Linked DNA regions of Drosophila melanogaster. Changing the gene in region 3 together with the main gene of any one other region gives a genetic interaction. Each region holds a gene or a part of one and is shown on either strand. Other genes may lie near its edges.

The links. Genes that interact genetically often act in the same process or in processes that back each other up.
Region 1: of E(bx) (region 3) and hop, changing one enhances a phenotype caused by changing the other (phenotypic enhancement), as found in Drosophila melanogaster (2 studies listed by BioGRID).
Region 2: of E(bx) (region 3) and EcR, changing one enhances a phenotype caused by changing the other (phenotypic enhancement), as found in Drosophila melanogaster (one study listed by BioGRID).

The regions. Positions count from the first base shown.
Region 1 is NC_004354.4:11,362,058-11,369,683, forward strand, and holds the start of hop (hopscotch), read right to left. Parts: upstream 6,042-7,626; 5' UTR 5,406-6,041; coding exon 4,344-5,405; intron 4,074-4,343; coding exon 3,913-4,073; intron 3,183-3,912; coding exon 2,976-3,182; intron 2,747-2,975; coding exon 2,427-2,746; intron 2,367-2,426; coding exon 1,904-2,366; intron 1,790-1,903; coding exon 1,440-1,789; intron 1,372-1,439; coding exon 935-1,371; intron 430-934; coding exon 251-429; intron 179-250; coding exon 14-178; intron 1-13. Other genes in the region: Tim8, read left to right, coding at 6,479-6,568, 6,647-6,823. UniProt on the Drosophila melanogaster protein: Tyrosine kinase of the non-receptor type, phosphorylates the marelle protein. Required maternally for the establishment of the normal array of embryonic segments: involved in the control of pair-rule gene transcription in a stripe-specific manner.
Region 2 is NT_033778.4:6,128,801-6,133,664, reverse strand, and holds the start of EcR (ecdysone receptor), read left to right. Parts: upstream 1-1,823; 5' UTR 1,824-2,547; coding exon of another isoform or gene 2,548-2,599; intron 2,600-4,864. UniProt on the Drosophila melanogaster protein: Receptor for ecdysone. Binds to ecdysone response elements (ECRES) following ecdysone-binding, and recruitment of a complex containing the histone methyltransferase trr, leads to activate transcription of target genes.
Region 3 is NT_037436.4:243,911-248,925, forward strand, and holds the start of E(bx) (enhancer of bithorax), read right to left. Parts: upstream 3,003-5,015; 5' UTR 2,473-3,002; intron 2,414-2,472; 5' UTR 2,307-2,413; coding exon 2,018-2,306; intron 1,566-2,017; coding exon 1-1,565. Other genes in the region: mthl14 (methuselah-like 14), read left to right, coding at 4,091-4,206, 4,292-4,711, 4,766-4,955, 5,009-5,015. UniProt on the Drosophila melanogaster protein: Histone-binding component of NURF (nucleosome remodeling factor), a complex which catalyzes ATP-dependent nucleosome sliding and facilitates transcription of chromatin.

The DNA of each region.
Region 1 (7,626 bases), on a different chromosome or scaffold from region 3:
CACGATAACTCACCGTTCGCCGCTCTGAAGGCGATTGAGGAAATCCTCCTGCGATGTCTGGATCGGCACCAAATTGGGCTCCTCGCCGCGCGAAAACATTTCGAAGAGCGTCACGCCATAGCTCCAAACATCCGAATACGATGAGAATCTGCAGGTGGAGATGGCCTCCGGAGAGTACCTGACCAATGGAAAGCAAAGATATTCAGTTGCGATAGTGGCCTACCGTCAATCCATCTTCTTTTTTTCTTACCATCTAATGGGAATATCACGCTTGCTTTTCGCATAGTAATATCCATCGGAATTGGCGAATTGCGCCAGGCCGAAGTCTGAGATTTTGACGCAGTCACCATCGCCGTTGTGGTCCACCAAAATGTTGCGGGCGGCCAGGTCGCGGTGGATGAGTCCCATGTCGGACAAGTATTTCATGCCCTGCGACGAGAAGCATTTGGATTAAGTACTGGATCAAAAGGAAATATCTCTTCTAAAGTCGTAAACATGAGTTTTCTATACCAAAGTTCTTTTTTGTGGTTTTTTGTCCAAAATGGGCAGTTTTTTGGCCACATCTTGGGTAGTAGTAGCCCAAATATGGATTGTTATACCTCGTTTGGCTCGTAATTTAATTCCCAATCGATTGGGGTTCAAAATGGGAACTTTTAATTTTTTGCCATTTTTTGCAAATTTTGATGATGTTACCCCTTGTAAAAAATTCAAAAAAATGGAAAAATTTTGAATCCACCAAATTCAAAAAAAAAGAAATAGGATTTGTTAATTGGGATCATAAGCTTTTAAAAACAGTCATTCCCTTCGAAATTTGACCACTTTTGGCCAAGTTATGATGCAAAAACCCTTAAAATATTTGTAGATTTTTCTTTGAGTTTTCCCTCTTTTTTCCGGAAAACTTGTTCCGTTCTAAAGCCATATTCGAACCACTCACATTTGCAATATCTAAAGCGAAGCTGACGAGCCGTGGATTATTGAGATTGGGTGCCGTGAAACGCAGGTAAATGTCGAAGGAACCAGATTGCAGATATTCCATAATGATGCAGTGCGACTTCTCAGCCCAATACTTGAACTTGACTATGTTCGGATGACTGAGGGTGCGCATGATGCCGATCTCGCGATGAAAATCGGTCGACACCTGCATGGTGTTCAGCATCTTGATGGCAACCTGCTCGCGCGGCTGATCCTTGTCGTTGAACTCCAGATGACCCTTGTAGACAGTGCCATAATGACCGCGCCCGATCATGTTCTCCATGTTGTAGATCACTCGACATTCGCTGGTCAGCGGTATGACCATCAACATATTCGAACGCGGAAAGGGTAGAAAGGGTATGTCGCTTCTATCGATCACGGTCTCGTCTCCAGTTCCATCTGGAAAAAAAAATAGAAGATGAAATGTATGCCAATCTCGTAACGCTGCTTTCGTCTGCTCAACTTACTCGTTGCGATCTCGGGTGGCGGCATATAATTGGGCAGAATTTCCGCCTTGATCGTGTTGAGACGCGAGAAAATGTCGTGGTGACTGAAGCGCTTGGTCTCATCATCGGACCATCCATCCATGATTGTCTCGAATATCGGCGCCGGACAGATGTCCTGATCGAGCATCTTGAGTATGTTGCCATCGAGATTTTTCTGCCTGAGTAGCTGCTCCTGGCGCAGTGTGCTCAGATCTTCCTTGCAGCGCGAGAAGATCTCGTATATGGTGGTAGCGAAGGCCCACAGCTGGGCAAACTGATCCGTTTTGGCTGCTTGCAAATTGCGATAATACTTAACAGGTATCCATGGCGAGCTGAAAGTGGAGAATGAATGATGTTATTTAAAATGCTGTTTGCTTTTTTTTTGTTTTATCAAAGAGTATGACCCAACCGAGAAGATGATTAAGTTGTATTTGTCGGCTACTCACTCGGATTCTCGGTAGGGACGCGGATAGCCGGGATCGCTAATTTTCGCGTCTAGCACGTACGAATTCGGATCGTACTTGGTCACGTACAGATTACTGCATCGTATGTAATTGTGGATAATCTTGTTGTCCTCCAAATAGTGCATGCCGCGCACCAATCCATGCATCAGATCCAGTAGACAATGCAGTGTTACATTGGGCATCGAGTGCAGGAACTTATTGAGCGGACCATACCGCGAATACTCCATGACCATTGTGTACGGATCGGCGAGCGTTAGGCCGTACAGCTTGAGGAACTGCGGCGACTGGATGAGGCTCCAGGTCTGTGCCAAGCGAAAGAACTCCATGAAATTGCCATCGCTCTTTAGCATTTTCATCGTCACGGACACATCCTTGACGGGACTCTGTTGGATCCAATCGCCGCGCATCGTAAACATCATGCCATCGTCGCTAAGCGATATCGAATCTGCGCAAAAGACGAGCGATTAGAACGAAGCAAGGCATTAGAATATATAGTATGACCCACCTGGATACCACTGCAGATCCGTTCGGGGATTGAAGATCTGCGGATTGCGGCGCTGCAGCTCCGCCTCGCTCAGCTGGAGGTCAGTCTTTTTGGCCTTGAGGTTCTTTGGCAGCAGCAGTAGCAGCAGCGGCGGCTTGTCATATTTGGAGGCGGGTATGCGATAGCGATCGGGACTATCCGCTTGAATGATGTGCGCCACTTCGTGCAGTGAGTTTAGTACATGCTCGCCGTTGTTGTAGCTTAGCTTCCATTGCGAGTCCTTGCGCACGATCCTAAATGTCTCCGTCTTGCAGCGTTCCTGATCGGTTTTCTTGGCCATGCTGCAAAGGTGAGCGGGATTTTCGCATGAGATAAAACCGATCACATCTAATTTGGGCATCATCAATCACACACACACACAGGCAATCATCAGTAAGCGAAACAATTGGCCACATAGCGCACACAGCATTTTTGTGTATCATGTGGCATTGCATACAGAAATGTTTGTAAGCCTGATAACCAGCGAGGAGGAAGTAACTGATAACTGTGTGAAGGCGCGCATGTACTCACATTTTGGTGTTGATATCGATGTAGTATATGTTGTATTCTCGATCGCATTCACGCACAATATAGCTGCCGCACTTGTCACCGTTCTCGTGCAGCTTCATCAGCGAGTAGGCACCGCCGATTGGACCATGGCAGTGGAGGGAGCTCAGCTCCTCCAGGGAGGGCGTGCGGTACGAATGGCACAGATCCTGCATCCATTTGCTCGACAATCTGCAAGGAATAAACGGATGGCAAATACGAGTTATAAGTTGCGCACATTTGTTGCTGTCCATTGGCATTGTTATTATTATTATTATTATTATTATTATTGCATTTGAAAAGTGATTCTATAGCTGGGAATCAATTGTTTCAATTACGTACATATAACTTTATTGAGTTATTGAGAAGTACTGCACATTGACGCAGGCGATATAAATAGCAATGTAACATTTAAAACCGATTAGTGCGTAATTATTTAATCAATTTAACTGAAGAAATCTTCTGAAAGCATTTAGTTTTAAATTTCTTGCTTGTTTTAATTTTAGCCTGATAACGAAAACCGACTTTGTGTGTTGGATTACAAAACAAACAGGGACTTGGTTTTAACAAACTCTTTAAACAAAAAAGCAAGCATTTCAAGCACTGTATTTAATCGTGTTATCAAATGTCATATTTATGTGGGAATCATTAACTTTTAAGTGGAATTATTATGTTATTAAATGAGTTCGTGGAATTGATGACTTGATGTTTTTTTTTTTAAATCAATGGATGTTAAAAAAAACAATTGAGTAGTTTGATTAAGAACATTGGGCACTGATTATTGTTACACGAACACTACAATGAGATGCCTATAAATTCTGGTGAAAAAAAGACCAAGCAAGTTCGGCTTAAAAGATTAAAATTTAGTTGGAAGCGAACTCTTTGGGATCTAAAGCTCACCGATTACAAGTGAACCACTCACCTGATGTAGATACCCAGGTAGGAGATGAAGGACTTCATCTCCTTCTCCGTCTGAAACTGCATCTCGTAGCCCTTGGGCAGACCAACGATTTCCAGCCGCACAGAGGTGTCGTTGATTTTGGAGATCATAAAAATTCCTTCCACGGCGCCAACAAGGATCCACTGCAGAGGAAATGAGGATTATCAATGGGATGCTAGTGCAATTACATATGGTATGTATGTATGAATATTTCAAGAATCTTTGCCAGCGATAAGCAACTTGATTACCAAGACAATCGCGTTAATTAAATTGAGAAATCTATCAAAATGTTTTTTAAATATTATAATATTAATGGTATTTCCATATTTAAAATGGCCAGCATTAAAATGCGCATTTCGATGGGAAAACCACAAGAAACCATATAAGATTTCAGAAGGAAACATAGTGTGTACCTTGAGTGTGGCCTCGGAGGTGACCCTGGCCACCTTGAGTCCAGGCTCCAGGGAATCGTGTGGAAAGACTCGCACATAGACATCGATTCCACCGCTGGTGGAACGTCGTTTGGCCTTCTTGCCACTGCCGCCGAGTGCAACGGAATTGGTGTTGGTGGTGAGCGTGGACAGAGTGTTGGTCGATCCAGAACTGGCCAGCGTCGACGTCGAGTGGGCCAGACTGGTGCCGATGGGTCCGCTACCGCGGGCCACCTCCTCGTTGGGCAGATACTGAACGGTGCAGGTGAACTGTTCGGTCATATAGGTGGGCGCCAAATGGGATACCTGATGCACATAGTGCCACTTCAAACGCTCCACACTCAGCGAATTCGCTTTTAGACTGCGGAAAACCTCACGTATCTTGGAGCCCACAAAGAAGCTGTGGGCGCGCCACAAGCTCGGTGGCAAATACAGTTTGTAAAGCTTCTCGATGGAGCGCATCGCCTGCTGATCCTCCGACTGTTCCTGATCGTCGATTAGCATATCCATCACGGCCAGTCCCGTTGATTTGTCCTTGTGCTCCGGATAGCGAATCTCCGGGATTTGCTCGGTCCGCATATCGTAGCGCATTTGGCGGTAGAGGAACTTGTGGCTCCGTCCATCGATCAACTCCAGCTGGCTATCCAATTCGGGCACACGGAAACGCATCCGAAAGCAATAGACCAGCTGGCAGTTGAGTCGCTCGCCGGGCAGGCACCACGTCAGATCCAAACGCACCAGCGGCGAGGGACGTCGCGATGTCGAGTGCTCCCGTATTCCGTAGAGCAGCTGGGCAATTGGTGCAATGCCCAGCTGGCGGCACATCGTATTGCAGATCTCCTCGCACAGCATGTTGGGATGGAAACGCTCAAATTCGCCGGTGGTGAAGTTGAACACACGGATTGTGCCATCGTTGGTGTGGATGCTCTGCGAGGAGGTGCCGCTGCGCAGCGAGGAGTTCGTCAGGCTGGCGCTGTCCGCCAGCGAAGTGCGTCCGCTGCTGCTGTCGTCCATTCTATCCTCTCCCCCGTTGGCCAGGGCCATGAGAGGATTGTCGGTGAGTGGTCCCTTGTGGGCTGGGTGCTATCTGCTGCTCCTGCAAGCCCAGTTCCTTGGCTGGAGCAGTTTCCTTACGCGGCCGCACTGAAGCTAGATCATGGGAGCTTTCCTAGGAATTTGCCGCGTTCTATCCGTTTCCTCTTCTTCTTGCCAATAACAATGACCACCGCGACTGACTTGAGTTGCTATTTTTGGGCTTACTGCGAATGCTCCTGGAATCGGCGATGCTCTTACCCTTGCAGTTGCAAGGTTGCCCCAAACTCCAGCGCGAGTTCCATTGATGCCACTGGCGGGGAACCACCTGGACTGCTCCTTCTTTTAGCAAGCGCCAACTTTCCGAGCAAGAACCACTTCGCCACTTGGGCGATCCGTCAGCAAAGTAAACTGGAAATCGGAAATCACAGTGCACTGGTCCGAAATTAGACACCCGAAACGCCAGCTAGATCCCGAAATTTGTGGGGCGTTGTGGGAACAGGGCGACGGGACTGGATGGCGATTATAGACGCCTTCGATCTGAAAGTGGGCCTGCTGTCGAAACGAAGCTGCAATTGCGAAGCTACAATACAAGCCACGAATTTCAGTGAAATTCATCGGACAATTTGCACCTCACGATATCGATTGGCCGACGGCCGAGCCACTTTGTCATCGATTGTCCAATAACCTGTACTATCGCACCTTGCGAACCAGTGGTTGGCAACGCGAGGTTCTAGTTCTTTTTCGATAGTTCTCAGTAAATATAAATAACAACTTACTTTAGAAATGTATTCTTGAAAATTGTATACCCTCGTTGGCAGGAGGAGGATGCTTAAGAAAAAAAAATATACTGTTATTTGCTCTATGGCGTCTATATTCTTGCCATTTAAATATGACAACAGTGCAAACAGTGCAATATGCACGGCATTTCCAGTATCGAATAGCTTTGCTATCGAATACACATCGATTTTTGTAATTCCACAGTTCACAGCTGTCAGTGTCGTTTATATAACCTCAAACCTTAGAATATATGAAATTCCGGACGAGCCCGGTCAATTTGTAGATTGCTCACTGAAAATCACACGATGTCCGATTTTGAGAACCTTTCCGGCAATGACAAGGAGCTGCAGGAGTTCCTCTTGATTGAGAAACAGAAGGCACAGGTCAACGCGCAGGTGAGCCGGGTTCCCCCATACACATAATAACCATTCGTAATCATAACAATATGCCCTCGCACATTATATCGTCGCCAGATACACGAGTTCAACGAGATCTGCTGGGAGAAGTGCATCGGCAAGCCGAGTACCAAGCTGGACCACGCCACCGAGACGTGCCTGAGCAACTGCGTCGACCGATTCATCGACACGTCGCTGCTTATCACCCAGCGGTTCGCTCAGATGCTCCAAAAGCGAGGTGGCGGCGACCTGTAGATTTGTTCGCTTAATCGACACCGACACCGGGATCTGGGTATCCGAGTCCGTGGACGCTTCCGTCACTGTCCTACTGTTAAATCTATTTTTAAACAAAAAATTATCATGTAAGCACATTTTTTTCCGCGCTGCGTTTCGCCGCCGACATCCAAAGTATGTGGCCCGTAGTCTGCACCCAGCCCGAAATTGAAATCCGTGATTCGAGTTCCGGAATTAATATTTAATTCGGTAGCGCAACTCAATTGTTTGGTCGGCCCTACGTTAGCGTACCGAAAATAAATACATCTTTCGTTTCGTACGTTTAAAATGCATTGTGTTGTAATCCTTTGCTTGGATAGTTTTAATCTCTTCTTTTATAATGATGAAATATTGTTGATAGATGGCTTAATATTATGCAGAAAGGAAAATAGAATTGAAATTGGATCATTTCAACATACATTTAAATTTAATTAGGCTGGAAAGGGGCTTAGAATGAAATAGTAGGTGTTCCTTAAATGTTTATTAGAATAAATAAAGTTATTCCATATCGATAGTATAGTGCTTCCACTCGATAAGTACCTATCGGCAACTTTCCAATTGGAATTCATATTTACGCAACTTTGAACACACAAATGTAGCTGCCATTTCCTGTATAAAATGTAATACTAAATGTAATATTAATGCATTTCTGCTAAATCCAAAGGTAATACTTGCAATGCTTGCGGACCTATTTCCCGCGCTCGCTTTGAACGTTTGCCCAGGACTTCTGATTGGGCTGCACACGCAGCGCGCCTCTGGTCACACTGATCCCAACTAGAACTAGT
Region 2 (4,864 bases), on a different chromosome or scaffold from region 3:
ATACATGTTGCACCCATACTCTAAGCAATTGCTCCAGTGTACTACTGAACTGAGAGTCGTTTGGCAGTCGGCCAAGAGGGAAAAGGATAGTGGAGGAGAGGGGAACGAGACGTGTGGAGGAGTGGAGAATGTGGGGAAGGACGAAAGAGAAGAAAATCATCATAGACGCAGTTATGGGTTGCAGCTGTGTTTGTATTGGTATACCCAAACAAATAGAAGTAGAGAAACATAGGAAGAGATAGAGAGAGGCAAAGTCTCTTTCACGCCCCCGACACCAAGCCGCTGCCGTCCCCACTACTCAGCTGTCATTGTTGATATTTTGTGTTTTCATCTTGAACTTTTGTGGTTCAATGTGTCTAGCCAACCCCAAACAGAGCGAAACTCACCACATGCTAACCACTGTCACCGTCAGTACGACCACCCCCACAGTCCCGCACCACCTTGCCCTTGCATTTTGCCGGCTTTTCTATGCGTATGCGTAGAGAGCGAGGTCGTCTCTCTCGCTCTGGCAAATGCAATTCTCTATTGCATTCTACACTTGAACTTGCCCAGCGTCAACTCAACGCACACAGCGACGTTAAGTAAATACGTAGCGATTCGAATGATGGGGCTGGTGGTGGGGGGAAGGGATGGGCAAACAATTATCTGCAGCGATGTGTGCGTATCTGTATCTGAGTATCTCAGCTCGCTTTGCGCTGACTTTTTAACCACAATGTATTCGAAACGTGCAATTTATACGTCGCCCAGCAGACGGCGGTGATACGTGTATGTGTATGTATACATACGTACATACTCATAGATACTGTTGTGGCTGTTAGTTTGATCTGCGTTCTGTTTACCCTCCTGGTGATCTTTTTCCTTTCCGTCAATTACGTCTCGTAGTGTCAATATTCTGCTTCAAACAGCGGTGTCTACTGACTTCAGGTGGATTTCCCTTCCAACGAATGGAAAACAGTCCTTCGGAGGACTCTCTATGGTTTTCTAACTCGATCTTATTTATTATTCATTCAGCTGACGTGAGAAAGTATTTTTGGCCACATGAAACGTTTTCATTGTTTTCTTGTTGAGATATTTGCTACATATATGTATTCAAATAATAAAGTTTAAAGGGACACTGAAAAATGCAATTGATGTTAGAGATTATTGAAAATAAAACTTGGAATGTATCGAAAAGGTGAAGTAGAGAGACTGTAATTTAAGCTAAATATTTCAACTTATCCTACTTTTAATTATTGCAAGTTGTGGCACTCCTTCCGATTTATTATGGACCCTTTCGTCCCACTATGCGAGAATATTTCAAATGTACGTACATACGTGTGAATTTGCACTTGTGCACCCGAAAGTAGCGATGAACGAAAACGAACGAAAAAAAAAAACAATAAATAAATGTAGAAAACCGAAAATAAAGCAGCAAGAAATGAAAGCGATGATGGCACTCATACTCACGCATACACGGCCATATACGCTCGCACACAACTCACAGATACGTGCCGGAGAGCGGACAAAGAGTATTCCACGATTGCAATTGCATCGGCATTTTCATTCAAGCCGCTTGCTCAGAGTGTGTGTCTGTGGCTGTGTGAGTGAGTGCTGCCTGCGTTTCACATTTATCTTTAGCGCCGATTCCGCTTTTAACTCTCGCTCTTTTAGCGCCATGGTGTGCGTGTCTGGTGAGTTTACTTTGGTGTGCGTGCCAGTGTGGTGAGTTTGAGCGTTTAACATTCTGCTCGTCTCGCTCATTGATTTAGTATTTTTTTGGACTTTGTTGTTAACGGTTGTTCGCTCGCACGTACGAAGCCCGATCGCGTTCGTCAAAAAACAAGATACAAAATACAGCACACACAATTGAAAACGACAACCTAACAGTACGGTTTCCCAAAGCACCTTACATTTCAAAACCGAAAACCCCCAAAATGTTGTAACCAAATAATGTTTAAATCACATATACACCTACATATATTTATGAAAAATTGTTAGACAAATCCCAAATAATACCAGTTCCCCCAACAACCGCAACAAACACAAGTGCAATTCATCGGCAAAAATTAATATAAAGTGCAAATGCATTGTAGCTGAAACTCAAACAATAGTAAAAATACATACATAAGTGGTGAAGAAGCAAAAGGAAATAGTTCTTAAAATAACGCAAATCGAGAGCATATATTCATATTTGTACAGATATTATATGGCGGCTGCATAGTGCAAACTGCGGCTGAGGGAATACAGCGGTATCGAAATGTAAATAGGAAACAACGAAGCCAGAACTCGAAATCAAACATCAGCAACGTGACACACAGACATAAGACGCCCGTCTAGTCGTGGTCTGTGGAACGCTAGCTCCGCTTTGCCAGGAGCCGGAGACTTTTTCCGCATCCACAATATTACATATGTACATATATCGAAGATAGTGCGCGAGTGAGTGAGGGATTTGTGCCGTGGATCCCGATCCCCTTACATATATATAAAGGTAGTGAAAAGATTTTACTCAACATTCCAAATAGTGCTTTGTCAACTGGAATACCTTTTGTTCAAATACGCAGTGGGCCCATGGATACTTGTGGATTAGTAGCAGAACTGGCGCACTATATCGACGCATATGGTGAGTGTGGGCACCTTGGAATCCAATAGAACCAAGCGCTTTTCCATAACAACATTTTGTGGTCAACTGCTTAACGAAAGATCTGAGTTAGGCAACAAGTTCGCTGTTCGGAGCCGAAAACTATTTTCGATTTGTTCAGGCCCTAATGTGTTTGTCTTGGCGCACTTGTCACTTCGCGTGCGCAAAATCAATTTCCATTTCTTATTCATCCAGCCGAAATGAAAACTACATTACCATTAGATCTTTTCAATGCCAAGATACACAGATCATATGTTCGCATAGCTGAATACATGCTGTACATACAGACATTATGATGTCCCAAAAAGATACACATGCTTGGGATGGGGGTTCGATTGGCAATACATTAATTATGGTCATGACAACTGACAGACGGTCAAGACAGAACGTTGAAAATTGTGTATTTCGCCTGCGTAAACATAATCAAGCCTCTTTCGGGCCACCATAGATCCCCGGTGTAGACGAATATGTGCATGTCGGTCTAGGAAAGCACTCGACTGCGTAATTGGCATGTATTTCCATAAATTCAAGTGGGCATTCAGTGAATTCAGCCAACAGATTTACTCTGATTTTCACATATATTCTGTTGATAAGGTTTAATTCGGTGTAAAACGTATTCGATTTATTAAGTGCCGAAAGAACGCTCAAAAATGATTCGATACAGATTGGGCACTTGAATCGTGTTGGAGAAGGTAAAATTGTGGAACATGTAAATGCTGTTCGTCTGAAGAGACTTCACTTTTTGGATCCAATGACTTCAATTGTTAAATGTTCAATTCTACAATAAATGTGTAGTATTTATTTATCTTATTTTTGGTATATTGTTTAATAGGTACTGCGATATATTATTATACATTATAAGGCGAGTCCTCTTGTGCGCTTGGGCTTCCCTATTTTAAAGCGCCTAATGAGGCATTAGGTAACAGCATTAGGTTTGCGCTTAGGTTCCAGTAAAGTCCCCAACATTAGTTTGACTCTCCCACAATTAATTTGTTCCATCCCCCCGACGACACAGACTTACCGCCACCCGTTGGCCTTCGTTTCCTGGGCGGGTCTGGTTAAACTTTCGACTTCATGGCTCTGTTTTTTGATACCCTTTACTCACACAGCATTTAAGTTCTAACGATGACTGAGCTGTGCAAGTTTATTTTTAGTCTCGGCCAAGTCCAATCTAAAGCTCCTAGAAATTCGAATAAGCTCAAAAGCCCTAAGCTGGGTTTTTAAATGAAATTCCTCTACAGGATGCACATAATTCAGAATTGTAGATTTAGTTTTAAACGTGCTAGCGGGTATCTTTTAGTCGAAGCACTCGACTAAAGATTCTCTTTTCCAACTGCTTTTTGCACATTAAGTTTTTCGCTATTTCTTCTTTGCTACACTTTCTGGACACAAACAAAGAGCACAAAAAAAGTAACTTATATCCTATGGCGTCGACAACTTCGTCTTCGCTGCTGTTGTTTATGTTTTATGGGACATTAAAGTGGCCAAATGGCAAATTTTAATGCGATTTTATGCAAATATATAGACACATGTATGTCTATACATGGGATTCAGTGTTGTGGCTTCGCCCAGGCTGAGAAAACCGAGTTACCAGTGCTTTTATGTCGAACCCTCTATGCATTTTTACAATAGTTTGGGGTTCTTAGCTAAATGACTTTGACATGAAGAAATTATACAAGCAAATGGAAACGATCAAAAGATCTGCTTAGTGTTCTGAAAGTCCTACCACAGACATAACAACAATTATGACTACCAAATCCGCACGAATTAAAATGACCCTGGATAATCGAAATACCTTATTTTATATCACAACTGTTTCCAAAGTGTCACACACAACCCCCCTTTAAAAAGGTTCAATGTAACCGCGTCTGGGGGCGACGATACTAATGGGTGCAGACCAGTGGGTCACGAGACAGAACACCACTCCGTTCTTCATCCCCTGGATGGAAATGGGGAACGGGAATGGCAGAAATGGCAAACAGGTGCCATTGTATGTGCTCTTGTATCAATTGCATTGAGTGCCTTATCTTGTCAGCCTTTTCTAGCTGGTTTTCCTTCCCGTTCGGTCTGGATGGACCTAATTTGTGTATGTGCGGTTAAGAGTAGCCTGCCATAAAGCAATCGAGCTTGGAATGAGTTGTGCCTTCTCCCCGACGCTCTTGTGGACTTTCACAGACCAGCAACAAAGTCGAGCTGCCAACACTTTCGCAGACAATCGCCAATGACAGAGAGTTTCCATGACTTTCC
Region 3 (5,015 bases):
AGTTGTTATCATATTGTCAGTAGTTCCCATGGTTATACCGATCCATTTAAAGTCAGAAGCCGTCGTTAACGAGAACTTATGGGACAGATGGCGTCGCTTATCTCGCTCCTCGTTTCGTTGCGGCTTGTTGAGTGCAATTGGATTTGTTGAATACTGGTTGACATAGTTCTTAAATCCTTGCTCCATGCCAAGTTTAAAATGCAAAGTACCATTAGTCAGCTGATTGGATTTTTGACGCGTGACCATTTTACATTCTTCTTGTTTTTTTGTTCCCTCTATAGATTGACTCTCAGATTTAGCATCACCATCTTTTTCATCCTCGTCAAGCACCTCTTTCTCCAAAAGTTCATTTTTAGCCTCTTGTTCGATTTCGATAACACTACGCTTCGTGTGTTTGTGTTCATTGGTTAAGGTCTCAGTCAGTTTCATTTGGCGCTCGATTTCGTCTCTCCTTTCTGTAATCTGGCTATGCAGACGAGTTTCCAGTTCTTCGGCGTCCAGTCGACTGAGCAGCAATTTTAACTTACTTGTCGTACTGTAATACCAGCATGTAAAGTTCTCCTGATCCTCGATAAAAATGCGACGTGCAATAAACCAATATTTGCGCCCATGACGATCAACACCGAGGCTATCATGCCGGATTAGCACGCCTTGTTTTTCTTGTGGCAACACGCAGTCCACTACGCCACTTACCTTATGCGAGCGGCAAAGCCCGCACTGCCAATCCTCAGTAGGTACGTCATTCATTGGCGGGTCTACACATTCCAAATGATAGACAGCAGGGCACGTCTCGCAACATAATAAATCACCGAGCCGATGGCACACTCGGCAATGGTCATCATAATGAATAGGTCCCTCCTGCAGCATTACATCTCGTATAGAATTGGAAGTTAAAAATTGATCTGACAGAAACTGGAGCACTTCAAGCCGGTTGTCAATGCCCGTGTAAGGGTATTCAGTGTGGCTTAAAATGTGAAACACGTTGCGATCAAATGTCTTATCGCTTTCTACATAGCTTCGCAAAACTTCCGGCCACGTTATAGAGTCAATCAGGTAAAGACTTATATTAACCGTATCTTTTTGATCCAGCGGGCCAAAATGTGTACCCTGCGCGTCCTCTTCTCGAAGAATCGCTTTAAGCAGCATTATGTGTACCTCCGTCAATAATGCACTTTGCTCCTCACAAGCCAGCGCTGCACACAAGTCTTCAAATCGGAATGGTGAAAGGCGGACCATGTGGCGAAATCGTCGCAGTACTTCATAGATACTTAGCGCGCGCAAAACGTGTGTATTAGCAATGAAAAGATCCTCCGACGAGTCCGGCAAATCAAGCGCTGCATACTGACGACCTTCCTGCAGCCACACAGGTTCTGGGCTAGGAGGACGTGGCGGCCGACCAACTCCATTTTGGTTAAAGCTGCACACGGAAAACTCTGATTCGCTCTCGTTGGCTACTTCTAGGCTCTCGTCGTCGCTGGGAGTAAGCAGCATATCATCCTCATTATCGGATTTATCTTCTTCGGAATCCCCAAAATCTGACCCGTAGTGATACTCCGACTCGTACCCTGAAAAGAGGAACAGTAGCTCTTAGAACCAATATGATTTCACCAACACCTAAGTGCATAAAACCTGACATACTGTCACTGCTATTGTGGACCCAATTTCTACTGAATTGTATTTAAGTAATTGTTATTAAACTCATGCCAACTAGACTGAAAGATTTTTTGTCGTAAGATTTCAAAAATAATCGTTGGTATTAGAGCAGATAGACCTATCGAAACTGACTCGCCCGGTAGTGGTTGTCACGAAAATATTAAATTTGATCTTTTATGAAGCGGAAGCTCTTTAACGCACAGGAAAACTCGTTTGAAGTATGAGTACCATTCAAAACGATCAAAGTTTTCTCCACTGCAATCAATATATGGCACATTATGTTCCCTATTAATCTTCGAACTAGTCAGAGCGAAACTGTAAGTCTTGACTCCCAAGTTAGAGTTTAGGTGCCCCTTTAACCCACCTTTCCTTCCAGAGTAGCTACTGGTGTTCGGTTGCACGGCGGATTTGCGGCCTCGTCCCCTCTTAGCGGCGCTCCCGCGACTGCGATTGGTGTGGTTGTTGTGGCTGCTCCTGCTGCCCTCGTCGCTCTGTGGAGAAATGCCCCTGGATGCCGACGGAGTGCTGGGCTGCGACTTTCCCTCGCTGAGATACTTCGGCTTCTTGAGAAGCTGGTAATTGAAGCGTCCTGATGCGCGTTCGTTGGGCGTCTTTGGCGGACGTCCACGTTTACGGCTGCCGCGACCGCTCATCTTGTTTGTTTTCGCCTTGCGTATTTATCTGGCTGTGTGCAGGGGTGCGTGGGGGTACTCTCCTCAGATATTGTTCCAAGTTAATGCTGCGAGGCTGCACATTAGATCTGAAACGAAAATTAACCCATTAGTACACGGTGCCACAGGAACGCACACCGCATCTCACTCGCACTCAGCTAGCTATGTATTTACGGGGCACATTCAAACACACATTTACTCAACAGCGTATGTGGGGGAAAAATCGATCAGATCGTCAAAAGTTTGTCGTTGGGTGTTCACTTTCTTTGTATTGCGCAAATTTGGAGTTGAAAAAAACCCGCCAAAAGAGCTTGTTTAGTTCAGAATAACGGTTCCGATTAAATACATTAAGTACATGTATTCAAAACACATTCTTGGCTTCTAGTGTTGGACGGCAAACGCACTGGACAGCACCACCAAGTTCGATTGTATGTGTGCGAGTGCGATGAAATGAAGCCAACGCACATTGTCCGCCATTTAAGCAACCGTGAAAATTTTTGCGTCTGTTTAAATGTCACTCTTCTTTCACAATTAACACATGGATTAACTGCGCAAATTACCCAGCATGTTGCGGAATAATTGCACAGGATTTAACACGATATATTCTAATATTTTTAACTATCTTCAGCACACTGCGAAAGAGACTTTTACCTAACATTACAGTTTTGAACATAGCTAAAGACGGTGTACAGTCGGCCAATCACAGCGACTCTTCTATTGCGTGAAGTCAGAAGCGTCCTCTTGCGGTCGGCTTGGAGAACTAATTCTTTATGGTTGCACAAACGATATAGGCAGGGTTGCTTTTGGCATTTACGCTGAACCGCACTGACAGATGTATTTTTATTTTTATCGACGTGTTGAGCGGGCGTTTAAAGAAAACCCGTTAACTTGTAATCAAAATAAACTTACCTTTGCTCACTATCTTAAAAATTAAAACGGTATTTTTGATGCGGTAAAAAAAATGTATTTTTTTGTAAATTTATTTTAGTGTATTACATTCTACCCAATTTCGCATTTTAAATCCTGGTGATCTCATTTCGTAAATTGCCGACCACGAAAAATCCATTAAAAATGTTATCGATAATAAGTTGCCGTTACGATTTTTTGTTTACTGGGAAAGGTTTTTATATTATTATTACTTAAATTTTTTAAAAAATTATTCTAAAAATACTAAATTAAAGTATTTTAATTGTGTTTGTTGAGAAATGTGTTATTGTTAAAGAAATTAGGGTAAACAATTTGCTTTGAAGCCCTGAAAACATCGTTATCTTATCGCCTGCACAAAGTGATTCCATTGCAGAATTAAAACTTCTTTTTCGCTAGTATTACTTTATTAATCAAGCTCAGTGGTTGCATTTTAAATAGCAAGCATAAATTATTTGACATGTACGTAAACAATAATTGCCATAAATAGTTTATTTTTAAAAATACAATAATTGAATAAAATATGATCTAATCAAATAATCAGTGCGCAAAAATTGACATTTAACGCGGTTTTGTATAAGTTGATGAGTGTAATTTTCCGAGTATTGATCAATTCTAAGGAATGTGCTACCACATTCGTCTGACGTCATGTGTTATATTATGATAACGCACTCTACTGGTATCTTACACAGATAAGATAGCCCATATCTTACCAGTTCCCACACCACCTAACTAATGTCAAAATTTGGTTTGTTTACATACTTTCTGTGTAAACGAACTCGGCAATTTTGTTTTATTCATTTTATGCTATATATTTTTTGTAGATTGGTTGAAAAGGCAATATGAATCTAGGCCACTGGAATTTTCTCCTAGCTCTAATCAGTTTACAAACGTTTTTTAACGCCTCCGCACAGATAAGCACTGTAAATAACAGTTCGAAGGGATCAAACAACTCAAAGTAAGAAATACTCAAAATATTTGTTTTCGAAAAATACTAATTTTGGAATCTTTGCATTTTCTATAATATATTTTGCTTTGCTTAGTATTTTCCATGAAGACACATTCAATAGCACTTCGATTGACGTTCTGGACGCCTCAATACATTCAACACTGGTTGTACCTCAAACATATTCGACAGAAGCTGCAACAATATCAGGTGCTAGGTTCGCAACCTCTGTTCCTGTTCAAAGTCCTGTAGACAACCCGTTAGATCCGGCGGACTGTTCTCAACGGGAAAAGTACAGAAAGCAACCAGTTGCAACACCATCGTCTCGTTTAAGAAAATGCTGCCCACATGGAGAAAACTTAAATATATATCGGGAAAATCAAAGCGATTCGATGTGCGACAACGGGCTCTTAAGCTTCGAACCGACTATAATAAGTGCAGTTCTGTTCGATAACTGCATTGAAGATTTGGAGGTTGAGACTACGCTCGACTACGACATTGGAAATCCGTGCAACAGGTATGAAAGCGAATGTTAAATTGAATCAAAGTACAAATTCTTCTGCAAAATTAGTTCTCTTTTGTACGACGACAAAGACGATGTTTTCTTTGTTCTGCAAGACGGTTCGTTATTAATCATCGACAAATTTGGCAACGAATCATACACTGTGAAGGAACATTATTGCTTGGATATTGATAAGTCAGGACACTTGTTTGCCTTTACATGTGTAACCCAAGTGGAAGAACAAATTGCCTTCGCAAAAGTAAGTCAATGTAACATTATTTTCTATTTACCAACGGATGAATATTATTTCAGGTCGTTT